Linked DNA regions of Cricetulus griseus. The protein of the gene in region 1 purifies or fractionates together with the protein of each later gene. This does not show direct contact. Links are inferred from orthologs where the notes say so. Each region holds a gene or a part of one and is shown in the gene's direction. Other genes may lie near its edges.

Evidence for each region. Proteins that work in one complex are often made in the same cells at the same time.
Region 2: the proteins of Fbxw7 (region 1) and Med13 purify together in Homo sapiens (affinity purification with mass spectrometry; 5 studies listed by BioGRID and IntAct, with this or other methods). This does not show direct contact. The link is inferred for Cricetulus griseus from reciprocal best matches to the Homo sapiens genes FBXW7 and MED13.

What each region holds. Positions count from the first base shown.
Region 1 is NW_023276806.1:69,599,912-69,606,387, reverse strand, and holds the start of Fbxw7 (F-box/WD repeat-containing protein 7), read left to right. Parts: upstream 1-2,699; 5' UTR 2,700-3,837; intron 3,838-6,476. UniProt on the Homo sapiens protein: Substrate recognition component of a SCF (SKP1-CUL1-F-box protein) E3 ubiquitin-protein ligase complex which mediates the ubiquitination and subsequent proteasomal degradation of target proteins.
Region 2 is NC_048600.1:99,605,504-99,612,077, reverse strand, and holds the start of Med13 (mediator of RNA polymerase II transcription subunit 13), read left to right. Parts: upstream 1-2,669; 5' UTR 2,670-2,793; coding exon 2,794-2,859; intron 2,860-4,718; coding exon 4,719-4,953; intron 4,954-6,574. UniProt on the Homo sapiens protein: Component of the Mediator complex, a coactivator involved in the regulated transcription of nearly all RNA polymerase II-dependent genes.

The sequences.
Region 1 (6,476 bases):
TTCTCATATAAGCTCACTTTCAAGGGAAGTTATGAAACACAGATATCCATTTGTCACACTTTAACACAGCAGGCAGATCTTTGATAAACTGATGAGCCAGGGAAAGAACCGTTAGCCAAAATAAGTGTTTGGTTCTAATTTACTGTTTTTGAAATCTGATTTAACTGATGTATTTCTCCTATTGATTATCAGGCAATAAATTTATGGAACTGGCTGGGCCTTGGTGGCGCACGCCTTTAATCCCAGCACTTGAGGCAGAGGCAGGCGGATCTCTGTGAGTTCGAGGCCAGTCTGGTCTCCAGAGCGAGTGCCAGGACAGGCTACAAAGCTACACAGAGAAACCCTGTCTCGAAAAACCAAAAAAAAAAAAAAAAAAAAAAAAAAAATTATGGAACTGAAAGGATATAGAACAAGTTGGAGATGTATGAATTCCCTCCTTTCCAGCGGCCAGGGTCTAACAGCTGTTTTCTCCTGTTACCAGTCTGGGAGGGGAGGTGAATGGATCTTATTCAGTAAGCTTAGTGGAGCTACTATCCTCAGTAGGTGGCTTGGGGCTCTTCTGAGTGCCATTCTGTCCCTCAGTGATGAGGTTATAGAGTGGAACCATTGGCAATGAAACAGATCAGGCCTTTGAACACGGCATGACACACAGGTTTCTGGAAGCATTTTCAGTTGCAGAGCTCTGCAATTTGTACTCTTCCCATTCAAAGTTCACGAAATTAAACTCTGAGGTGCTCGGCTTCACAAACTTCTCTAACCCTACATTGCATTTCTTTAATTTCTGCTGTACGGAAGAGAGTTCAACAAAATAATTATGTTGTAGCCATGTCTGGCTATTGCTTATTGATCTGATTCCCTGTGAGTATAAGTTGAACTTGGCAGGTTTAATGGATCATGTTTGCAGACCATCAAACCCAGCATTAACTAGGGTGAGAGATATTTGACTCCTGGGATTTCAGGTGAAGTACAACAGGGCCCGGTGCAACTTGTGAGTCCGTTCTTACTTTTGTGGCATCCTCCTCCCCCCTTTATTCACATTTATTTTTTTTTGCACAAAAATGAAACCTTGATTTATCAATGTAGACACTTCATTTCACTGTTCGAAGTGGTGGAAGAAGTGGCAAAACCCTGGGCTCCCCAAATACGTGGATAGTGTATTTAGTCCCATCTCCCCAAGCAAGGTTGAAGACCTAAATCGCCTTTGATATCCATCATTGCTGCTTACAGAGCAGGGGTCGGGTGCAGGGGTCCAGCCACACAACTGTGGAATTTGTTTCCCTTTATCTTTGCTGCTGCTTTAATCTCATTCTCCCACCATTAAGAAGGGCAGGCTCAAGACAGATTTCTGAGGATTGTGGTCCTTTTTATCTTGAAAATTCTTTTACTTCGGCACCACAGTTTAAATTTCTGTAGTTTTCCCCAAAACTTAAACAGAATCTGTAGGACAAACAGCCCAATATGTTAATAACAGAGGAGGGGGATAGAGAGGGAAGAAAGGAGTGAAGAAGGGAGGGAGAGGGAGGGAAGAGTAAGATAAGGGTGGGGGGAGGGTGAGAGAGAGAAAGAGAGAGAAGAGAGAGGCAGGAGAGAGAAAGAGGAGCGCGCGGACGCGCGACCGCTTTTGAGTAAGTCCTAAGACGTCGGCCAAAATTTTTTGAAGATATTAAAGGAGCGCTGTAATGAACAAGATCAGTTCTTCAAAAAAGTCAAGAGACAAGCAAGAATGACTCTTAAAAGACAGGCTCGACTACATCCGCCCCTTGAAAACGTTTTTAAAAAACTCTATAATATCCCAGAGTTGGTTCTCTTTCAGCCCTCTGATCCCCAACCCCGGTAATTCACCTACTTTCCCACAAAAGCCTGAAGTTGCTGCTCCCAACGTCAAGCCTCATCCCTTTCCTTTCACAGCTCGAGGGTGGGGGTGGGGTGTATCACAACTCTCAGGTTTCTACGCCGCAAATTACAAAACGCTTGCACTTCCACCATCACTGCCGAGTTCTGGGACTGCGATGCGAGACGCATTCATTCATTCATTCATTGATTCATTGATCCACTCACTCACTCACTCACTCACTCACTCACTCAAGAAACCTTCGCACCGCACCACCACCACACATAATGCGGCTCAAGGTTTCACCCCCACGCCACGGGAAGGGTGGAGCGCTTGCTCCCTGGAGCAGGTGCAGCAACTGAGCTGTGGGTCAACTTCTCCACCCGTCTCGCTGTTCTAGAACCTGCTCCGGGCCAAATGCCTCACCTTCGGGTGGTGCGCGCCCTAGCCCGGCCCCGGGGCCTGGGCCGCCTCCTCGTTCCCAGAGGAGCAGTTCGCACCTGCCCCGGAGGGAACGGCCACGGAGCTCTCTCTCCGCGCCGCCCTCGGGTCAGGGGTAAGATCAGGCGGTAGCTTAGGCTCGCCTGGGCTCCTCCCCTTCCTCTCCAGTTCTGACGCGGCCGTAGAGGCGGTGGCGGCGGCGGTGGCGGCGGCGGTAGCAGCAGCAGTCCCGCGGCCCGAGGCGCACCCACCCGCTCGCAGATCTCGACTTCCTCTTCCCTTGATGCGTCATCAGAGCGCGCGGCAGTCTCCCAGGGCGGGGTGGCCGGAGAGGGGGAGTAAAGGCCCGCAAAGGAAGGCGCTGAGAGGGAAGAGAAGGGAGGGGGAGGAGAGCGGTTGCTAGGCGACTTGCGTCATCGCCGGGCGCCGCTCTCCTCCCGCCCCTCTCAGGAGTGAGGCGAGAGCCCCGCACAGAGCGAGGGAGACAGGGAGCTGAGCTCCGGGCGCTGCCGACGCCGCCGGTGAGAGCGTGAGAGCGAGTGAGTGAGCGAGCATCCGAGAGACCGGGCGCCCGTGCACTGACCGCCGCCGAGACCTTCGCCTCAGCCCGGGCCAGCGGGAGCCGCGGCCGCCGTCTGCTTCCCCCCCTTACCTTCCCGGCCGGCAGCGGCGGCTGCACACGCCGGAGCCGGAGCCCCAGCCGGAGCCGGAGCCCGCGGCCGGGGGGCAGGGAGGCGGCTGCTGCGGGTCGGGACTGGTAGCTGCTCAGCCGGGAGAGGACGCCCGCGAGGGGCTGGGCTTTCTGCCTCGCCCCGGGGCGTGGGGCGAAGGACCCCCCGAGGTGTAGGGAGGGGGTCCCGGCCGCCGCGACACATGCGGGAGCCGCGAGCGGGGGCGGCGCCGATCCGAGCCCGCCAGGCCACCAGCTTAGCCGCCGTCCGGTCCGGCCGCCCGGGGCCGTAGCATCCCTTCGCGGAGTGTATGAGCCGGGGCCCCCAGCCCAGGAGCCACCCCCGGGCCGGGGGGGCGGGGACCCCGATGTGAAGCGGCTGCGGCGGCGTGGTGAGCGGCCCGGGCGCCGCCGTCCTCTCCTTCCCCTCCCCTCCCCTCCCCTTCACCCCCTCTGGGGGGCTTCTTCTTGGGCTCGCCGCCGCCCCCCTCGGCTCCTCGGCGGGACTCCGGGAGTTCTCGGCGCCCCTCCCCGCCCCAGCCCCCAAGGGCAGCGGGGCCGGGGGGGACCCGGGGGGCCGGCCACAGCCTCCGCCCAGAGGAAACTTTACCCAAACAAAATCATCGAGCTTTACGATCGTGTCTGTCCCGGGACAAGTGGCCCAGGACGGGCAGAAGCCACAGTGTGCAGAGACCCAGGAAGAGGAAAAACGGTGAGCGGGTCGCCGCCGCCGCCTCTACCCCGGCAGCGCGGAAGAGACCCGGGTGGTTGCCTGGTGGAGCGACGCTAGCACCGCTTCTTCTGTTCCGCGCCGAGCCTTTCGCAGCTGCCGCCTCAGCCCGAAGGAGGAAGGGAGCCAGCCCATATTGTCAGCGCCACCGCTCGTCTCTGAAGCGTGAGTGGACTCGGGGGAGGGGGACGTTCTAGGGTAGCAATTGGGAGCCGGTGGGTGCTTGGTGCTGGAGTTTGGCTGTTGTTTCTCGGGAGGGTTGGGCATGGAGACCTTTCCTTCCTGCTGAGGGAAGAAGGCATCAGTTTGCAAGAGTAATGCAAGTAACAGGGGGCTTGACTTAGAGGAGCGGTGTCTCCAGAGTGGACGTTTGCACCTTTCTGCACACTGATCAGCAAAGGGAAATCGAGAAAGCCCAATGGACAGGTCTGTCCTGTACATTTTCCTGGCCACTGGTTGTGATCCAGCACAGAGTGGTTTTGTTTCAGGGAAACTCCCATGGATTCCCACGTGGGAATCACTTGAATCAACTCTTTAAAATTTTTTTCTCTTTCTTTCTTAGCTATTGTTTTTGAAGTTGTCCTTGAGAGAAGGACCAATTTTGGTTTAGTACACACAGGAGCTTGGTACCCCGGATACGGTATTTCCCAAGTCCAGAGATTCTGATGCATAAGGAGGATGTTTTTGTGTTTCAGTAGCTCAGGAGAGTTCAAGTTCCTAGGATGCACAACTCTTTGAGACTGAATTCAGGGAGAGCACTTAATGCATTACCGTTTCATAAACGTTGCAGCACTTTCTTTTTCCCTAATTCTCTTATCATTTTTGAGGGGAGAGTAATACATTTTATGTGATAGTATATTTTTCCTAGGATTGAAAGGGCATGCATGTGGCTTTTCTTACTTGACTTGTCAACTTAGAAACTTCTCACACTTTAAAGAAAGTATTTCAGGTATCTTAAGAGTGCTTTAAATTAGAGGTACAGGAAAGTAATGTTTCACATATATAAGGTTAAACATACTGTGGGATTTTATGTAACAAGGAACATAGGTAGTGTAAGACTGAGAATTCTGGTCCATTCAGACAATGGAAAGTGGGCAGAACAGAGATGCTCTGTAGAAATGAATGGAAACCTGGGCTTGTCTATCCATCTTAATTTCTCCATTTAGGATCATGATTAAATTTGTCTGATTGAAAGTTTCTCACATTTCACAATGTTTGGGCCCTGTTCTCCCCCTCTTTTTAAAGTAATTAGCCCAAAAGTTTATTAGTTTTTGCATTATGTAACAACTCTCTTATCTTCTAACTGCTTCCTCAAACTTCCAAGATACAGGTTGAGGAATGCTAAAGCAACCATGCGTTTATCTCCTCTTGCTTTTATAGATTTTGGTTATTCTCTTCTGTCATCTGTCCCAACTTTTTAATCTTGAGTACTTTTAGTTTTTTTCCATTTTGGATTTTCTAGCTCTTTTATTTTTCCTTAGATGCTTTGTTCTTTATATGTTTTCATAAAACACTGTAAGTTCTACTTAGTGTAAATGGGAATTAGCATGAAAATATTGGTGAATGAAACTTTAAGTTTAGAATAAAACATGTTTTTGGATCTGTTAACCTTATTTTGCAACCCTGAGTAAGTCATGTATTCCATTTTCCGAAAAAGGTGACTGAGAGACCTAGTTTTGCATAGTTTGCTTTTTGGGAAGAAGGGGGCTGTAAACCAAGAAATTATACCTTGAGTGTGTATTGCTTCGGTTCAAAGTTGCTTACAAACTTGAGGACCTGCTTTGCAAATTGGTTTTAAATCATGGAAGTACTTTATTGGCTGTAGAAATAACAACATTTAATACTTTCAGTCTTTGGGGTACCTTTTCTTATGAATGACAGAGGCAATTTCTTACTAATTCAGAGAACCAAAGGTGGAAGGAGAACACTGATTCCACAGAGTTGTCCTCTGACCTACATGCACATGAATGTAATAGTGGTAGTAGTAAAAATAAATAGGTTTTTTTAAAAAAAATGTAGGAAAGGAGGAAATGTATTATCTTTATTAGTCTAAGATCATGATATATACCAAGGACTGTCATTGCACCTTCCATTAGGGAAGTGTTGATTTTGGACTACCCAGGAATAATTGGAGTCTCTGAGCCAAATCTTGGAAGGGCTCCTTCAGGAAGAAAAGAGCATGTACAAACAAAATATTAAAGACTCAGAGTCAGAACATGTAAAGGAGAAGGAAGTTAGCTTGGTGGGAATACCTACCTACTGATGGAGGTTCTCGACTAGGGGTAAGATCAGTTTGCACTTGTGTATACACTCATGGTTACAGTTTATAAAAGAATTTGAAAACTGCTCCAGAGAGGGTAGTTTCAAGTGACTGGGAGAAATTATACTTTAGGACGAAGGCACTATTGCTGGCTTTAGGATTTTGTTTCTCTAGGAAACCAATCTTTTTACATTATGTGGGGGCTGCACAGAAGGAGGTGTGAAAAGGAAATGCTTTGAATGTTTTTTAGCTGGATGCTAGTAGTTTCTCATAATCAGGAATTCAGAAACAGTAGCAGACTTTGCTTTGGATGTTGATTTTTAGGTTAAGAGCTGGATGTCCATATATTTCATGTGTTGGCTCATTCTGTTTTTCTTTTCCTCCGCCTCTTAACTCTTTCTCTTTGATTTTTGAATCTGTCTCTTGTCCCAGGCTGACCTTGAACTTGCTGTGTAGCTGAGGATAACCTTTAACGTCCAATCATCCTGATCCTGCCTTGACTTCCTGAATGCTAAACTTACTGTTGTGTGTGCCACTATTTCTG
Region 2 (6,574 bases), on another chromosome or scaffold:
TTGGATCTGAATTGGGTTTAATAAGATTTAACTGCTTCAAAGAGCTTTATAAGAATTCATTTTATCCTTCAAATCTGATTTCAAATGCTGCCTACTTGATGACGCCCTCTCAACCTGGATACTCCTCCCCCAGTGCTCCTGGTGTGTCAGAGTCGATGCATATCTTATTCAGGTCACTGCCTTTTATCTTATTCTGTAGGAAATATTTCTTCTATTGCCTCTCCAGAAATCCCGAGGAACAGGAAGATACAAAAAAAAAAAAAATTCTTTTTCTTTTCTTTTTATTTGAGAAGTCTTGCAATTACACCAGGCTGGTCTTGAACTCCTTGTCTTCCTGTCTCAGCCTCCCAAATACAGGGATTGCAGATGTGTGCCACCACTCAGTCATGATTTTAAAATTATATTAATGGTTAGCATTAATGTGATTAAGGATGCACTGGGACAAGCACTTATGACCAACATTATTTCATCAAGCATTTTAGGAGAAAGCTACTTTTATTATCCCTGATTTATGGTAAACTAATTTGATTTAAGGTCAAATTTGATCTAAGGTCAACTGGAAAGTGGCAGAACATTTTCTGCAAATTTTTGGCTTTAGGATCTCAGCTCTTAATCAGCATAGATGGACAAATAGATGGATGAAAAATACTTTTCATTCTGTGGCTCAAGAAGTAATCTTGAAGAGTCCACTATTTTAAAAAGATAATTATGATTTAAAATCATGATAGCTCCTAACTGTTGTCTCTTCTTAAGACAAGACCTCACTTTGTAGCCTTGGAGCTTGTTCTGTAGATCAGGATGGCTTCAAACTCAGAGATTCCCCTGCCTCTGCCTCCCCAGTGCTGGGATTAAAGTCGTGAGCTATCATGCCTTATGTCATTAACATCCCATATCCGCCCCCTCCCCCACACCAGACAGAGTTTCTCTGTGTAGCCCTAGCTGTCCTGGAACTCACTCTTTAGACCAGGCTGGCCTTGAATTTACAGAGATCCAGCTGCCTCTGCCTTCCCAGTGCTGGGATTTTAGCAGCCACTACCACCAGGTGTGTCATTAACTTTTAAATAGTCTTTCCCCCTTCTCTCCCTTCCTCCCTCCCTCCCTTTCTCCCTCCCTCCCTCCTTCCTTCCTATAATCATTTTAAAGCTCTCAAGGAAATTTTTTTGAATTCTTACACTGAAGAGTAAGCCAGCCCAGAATGATTGTTTGGGGGATGGAATTAACATCATATGTGGTTCTTCTTCCCATTCATTTGTAAGTTTTCAAATATCAAGTGCCTACTGTGTGCTAGGAACCTTTTAAGGCAATGGACAGCTAGAAAGAAAGTACCAATTATCATGATTCTTACTCTTAGAGTTCATTTGCTCCTCAAAATAACCATATAAAGTAATGATGGCAATATAAAAGTGTATGGCTTTACCGCACTCATCTGCGCCAGGCACTGAATTAGAACTCTGGTTGCATTAATGCATCATATCGCCAATATGAGGCTTGTTTCTCTCATTTTACAGATCAGGAAACTGAGTCTCAAAGAGGCTCCAGCTTCAAATCCTGTACAGCATGACTTTATCCCCAGTTTACTAGCCACAAGGCTATATTGTTTCACTTTTACCTCGTTATTATAACTCTTATAAAGGGCGGCTGAGGCTGATCTCCATCCAGCTCTGATTCTCAAGTCCAAGAGTTTTGAGCTGTACCCTGGAGGCCTTATGGAATAAATGAGAATGCATTGGAATTTTTTGTTGTTGTTGTTGTTGCCAACTTTCTCTTCCAAAGAATTCGAACTGATTTCCAAGTAATTCTCGTTGGTTTTGAAGTGAACCTTCCTGTACTGCACATTCTCCAGCCAGGAGAAAGCTAGGGCCAAGGCCCGGGTCATCTTAACCGGGGCATCCAGCAGATGGCGCCATCTTAGTAGCCACCAGCTGGCTGCCCGGTCCCCGGGGCTCCGAAAGCTTCTCTGCTCTCCCTCACTGCCTTCTCTCTCCCCCTCCCCACGGAGCCCGGGCCCACGTGACCTCACGGCGGCCAATGGGCGAGCAGAGAGGGCGAGCTGGTCCCTGTGGCCGCCATTAAAGCGAAGGGAAAACCCGTGAATTCGGATTAAAGGGGGAAAAACACCGCCCGCTGGGCCCACAAAATGGGGGAGACTACGGCGTACAGGCGGTGAGGCGGCAGGAGAGCAGACGTTAGGCAGGCTTGGCCCAGGGACAACACGAGGACGCAGCCGGAGAATGGACTGAGCCCTCAGACGCCGCCACCACCTCCGCCGCCGAGGAGACTCTGGGCTTAAGGACATCGCTCCTGCCGGGCCGGGGGCCCGGGCTGCTCCGCCGGTCCTCGCCCTTCCCGCCCCTCCGCGGGCGCCCCCGGGCCGGGGAGAACCCTCCCGGGCTTCAGGGCTCGGCCCGCTCGGACTCGGGCTCTTGACTATTTATCGTGTAACTGATAATTTTTTTTTGTTTTTTGTTTTTTTGCTTTTTAACCTTTTTTTTTTTTTTCCCGGTGGAAGGGGCACACATCCCTTCCCCTCCTCTCCGGAGAGGGACGCGCGTCCGCGAGCTCCGCAGTCCGGCGGCCGGCCGGCCGAGCGCGGCGCGGCGCGGCCCCGCCTGCGGCCTCGGCCCGGCGGCTGGGTGCCCGGGGCCGGGGGGCGGCGGGGAGGGCGGGCGGCCCGGCGGCCTCCTCCCCACCGCCCCCCGCCCTCCCCGGTGTCTGTGTTTCTCTCTCTGGTCGGAGGCGGCGGTAATGGCGGATGGTGGGTTGTGGCGCCGGCGGCGGCTGCTGTGAGGGACGATGAGTTCCTCCTTCGTGTCGAACGGGGCCAGCCTGGAAGATTGTCACTGTAACCTCTTCTGCCTGGTGAGTGCGGGGGCTGCGGGCGGTGGGGGAGGGGGCCGCGCCGGGCGCCCTTGGGCCGTGGGGGAGGGGGTACGGGTCTCATCCAGATGCCGGTGTCCCCCGGCTAGGCCCCGCCGGAGTCGGCCTCCTGCGAGGCTCTGCGGCCGCCCCGGGAGACAGCGTCCGCTCACCTACCTACCGGCCAGGACTCTGCTTGGAAGAGTCTTGTCTTTCCCCTTCTCCTGTCTTGTTTTGGACGCTTTTTTCCCTCCATCGTAGTCTTGTCCTTAACTTGGGTTTCTTATCTGGCCGGACAGTAATATTTTCTTGAGTGCTTCTTACTTACCACCCCACCCCCCCCACCCCGTATCGAACAGTGTATCTATCCCTTTTTCACACTTTTCCATGATTGTCCCTCCTTCACTCCCTTTATGCTTTTCCCTGCTAATTGGACTTCCCTTAAACAGGACCCCCCCAAAAAACTTACGTATTAAAGCCCCTCTCTTCGTTTTATAAGTTAAGCTAACACAGCGGTAGTTTCTTATGGGTGACTTCAGATCTTTGCGTACAAACGGCGTTCATATGTTTTCTTTTTAAACTTTGAAAACATTTTGCCATTTTGACAATTTCTAGCCATCTTGCTTTTATTAGAACATTATGTTTTTGTGAGAGTGGAGGGGCTAATGGAGGAGGTACTGTGGTTTCGCACTAAACGTTCTATGTTTGTCTGTTTTGCTTACGTTTAAAGAATGTTTTGCGCTGGCTGCTCCTTTTATTGAACTGAAAAGTCTGGGGACGCTGGATGTAGGAATGTTGTACTGTGTAGGTTGGCCCCAGTCGGGTAATAGCCAATAGTTTTTAAGACTTCTCTCAAAAGTACCAACTGTTGCAAATATCTAGTCCTTAATTAGGCGATAGCTGAGTTTCGTCAATGACTTTATGTTGGAGTGACTTTTTCATTTTTTTTTCCTGTGCGATGAGAAATATTAAGTCTATCATAGTTAAGTGAATTAAGTGGGTGGAGCATAACTAGTTGGCAAGCGTAAACTGCCAGTCATGTATCAGCAGTTTCATTTTTGGCACCTTATGCTTTCTGTCGCTAAGTTAGAATAAAGACTTGCTGAATTTCCTTTGTTGAATTTCCTTCGCAATGGTAAATGGGGATCTTTAACGAACTTCTACGTGGTGGAATATTTCTTGACAGTGTCCAGTAATCAGCATCTTCACATGTAGTAAGATGTACAGCATACAGCAGGTTTAACATTTCTGTCTTTCCCAACTGGATCTATTTTTGGCACTTTGGTTCTTTGAAGATAGATTAGCACAAATCTGACAGCTCTTTGGAAGTAGTTCTTTTCCTAAAGATGTGTGCTTGTGAAGAATTAACAGGCTTTTTTTTTTTTTCCGTTTAGAAAATTGTTCAGATGTCTTGTTAGAGCCTTGACTTCTTACAAACTTGAATGAGGGTCTTTAATTTTCAGTTCACCAAGGAACAAATGTGACTGACCAGTTAGAAAAGAATGTAGGGCAGAGGAAAGATAGACATACTGTGCAGTACTGGAATGCATGTTTAACATCATTGTCTCATTTATTAAATTCTGGATATGTTGTTGTATTTATTATAGATGTGCTATTCAGTGATATTGTTATTACTGTTTTTTAAAACTGTTGTGTGTTCTTTTCCTTAAGTTCTTGCTGGTTGAAGTATTAGAATTATTTGCATGATGTTTGTTATTTTGGTCATAGTCTTTAAATGTCTTAGGCATGCATTGAAAATAGTGATGTTTTAATGAAATCAGGTACTTTATAATGATTTTTTTTTTTTTTTTTTACTTAAGTGAATGTACAATAATATAGAAATCATGTTTTCTTTTCTTCAGGCCGACCTGACAGGAATTAAGTGGAAAAGATACGTATGGCAAGGCCCAACTTCTGCCCCTATTCTGTTTCCGGTGACAGAAGAAGACCCCATTTTGAGCAGTTTTAGTCGATGCCTTAAGGCAGATGTTCTTGGTGTTTGGCGTCGAGATCAAAGACCTGGAAGAAGAGAATTGTGGATATTTTGGTGGGGTAAAGATCCCAATTTTGCTGACCTTATTCACCATGACTTATCAGGTGAAAGCAATTTATTATTTTTTAAATCTGACTTAGCAACATTGTACATTTTCCCCAAAATGTTATTGGTATTACAAATTATGGTGTTAGTGTGTATACAGTTTACACAGCCTTATTAGTGTGAAGCAGTAAGAATGGTTTCAGTGTTTTATTTCACCATGATTGTTTTACTTTACGTAAAGTATCCATGTATATTATGGAAGATTTAAACTTTGAATAACTTTCTTCTTCCACCACCCAGCTTCCTTCCTTAATTTCTCACAGTCACTTTGTACCCAGGGAAGGCATTTTCATTGACCTAAGAAAAATGGAATCTGGAAGCATTCTCATAGTTATGTAATACTTTTGAAGCCAAGTGTAACTTACCTTTGAGTCTGTTCTGCTCTGATCTCTTTTGTGTGACACTGTGGGCGGTTCTAGAAATGTAACTTTATCTGGCATGTTTTTCAAAAGTATATTATTTTTATGATTATTTATTAACCCAGGGAAGCATATGCTATTTTTTTTTTCTTTTGGGGGGGCGGAAGCGGCTCTTAAATACTACTTCATCAAAGATTATATTGAGAGACAAGAGACAAGTACCACCTTATTTAACTTTTATAGGACAAAGGTCATTAATCTTCAAGGTTGCACAGAAATAGTTTATTATGAACTCGTCAATATTACTTACTCTCTTGACTTTGAGGGTCAGCTGTACTTTAGAAAGAAACTATAGCCCTTCATGAAATTACTCAAGTTATATTTACTTTAAACTCAGTGTAAGCAAATCTTTAAGTGATATACTTGGGGGAACCAAGTTCTAGTTTGGTAAGATTTTTGACAGATTGAATTTTTTTTTTAAAGCCCTTTAAAATTTTGTGTGCGAGGAGGGCGTGTGGGTGTGGTATATATGTGCCAGTGTTGTATGGAGGTCAGAGGACAGCTTTTTGGGAGTATCTTGAGACAGGGTTTTTCTGATGGTTTCTGCTGTTATGAAACTTATTTCAAGCTAGCTGGCCCTCTAGTTTCTGGCCAGTTCTGTGGTCTCTGCTTCCCATCTTACTGTAGGAGTGCAGGGGTTACACATGCTCTGCCACATCTGTTTTTTTATGTGGGTGCTGAAAATCGAACTCAGACTGGCTATGCTTTTACCCCCTGAACCATCTCTGCTGCTCTTTAGGCCATTTGAAAAAAGGCTTTCTTGTATGAAAGTTAGTACTCTGTGGTTTCTGGCTTTGAGCTGTAGGATCTGTTTTATTTTGCATGAAATATAATCCAGGTGTCAAGTAGCCCTAGCGCTGATCTTGAACTTACTATGTAGTCAAGACTGGCCTTGAACTCCCATTCCTTTGTTTCCTGCTGCTATTACAGGCATGTACCATCAGACCAGGCTCCAGATAGTTCTATTTTGAACTAATACTTTCTAAGGTCAACATATATGGTTTTTACTTTTTGGTTTTGGTTTTTCGAGACAGGGTTTCTCTGTATTGCTTTGGAGCCTGTCCTGGCACTAGCTCTGCAGACCATGCTGGCCTGGAACTCTCAGAGATCCGCCTGCCTCTATACTACTGGGACTAAAGGCGTGCACTACCACTGCCTGGCTTTTTTTTTTTAATTAGAAACTTTTTGTTTTTAATGGATG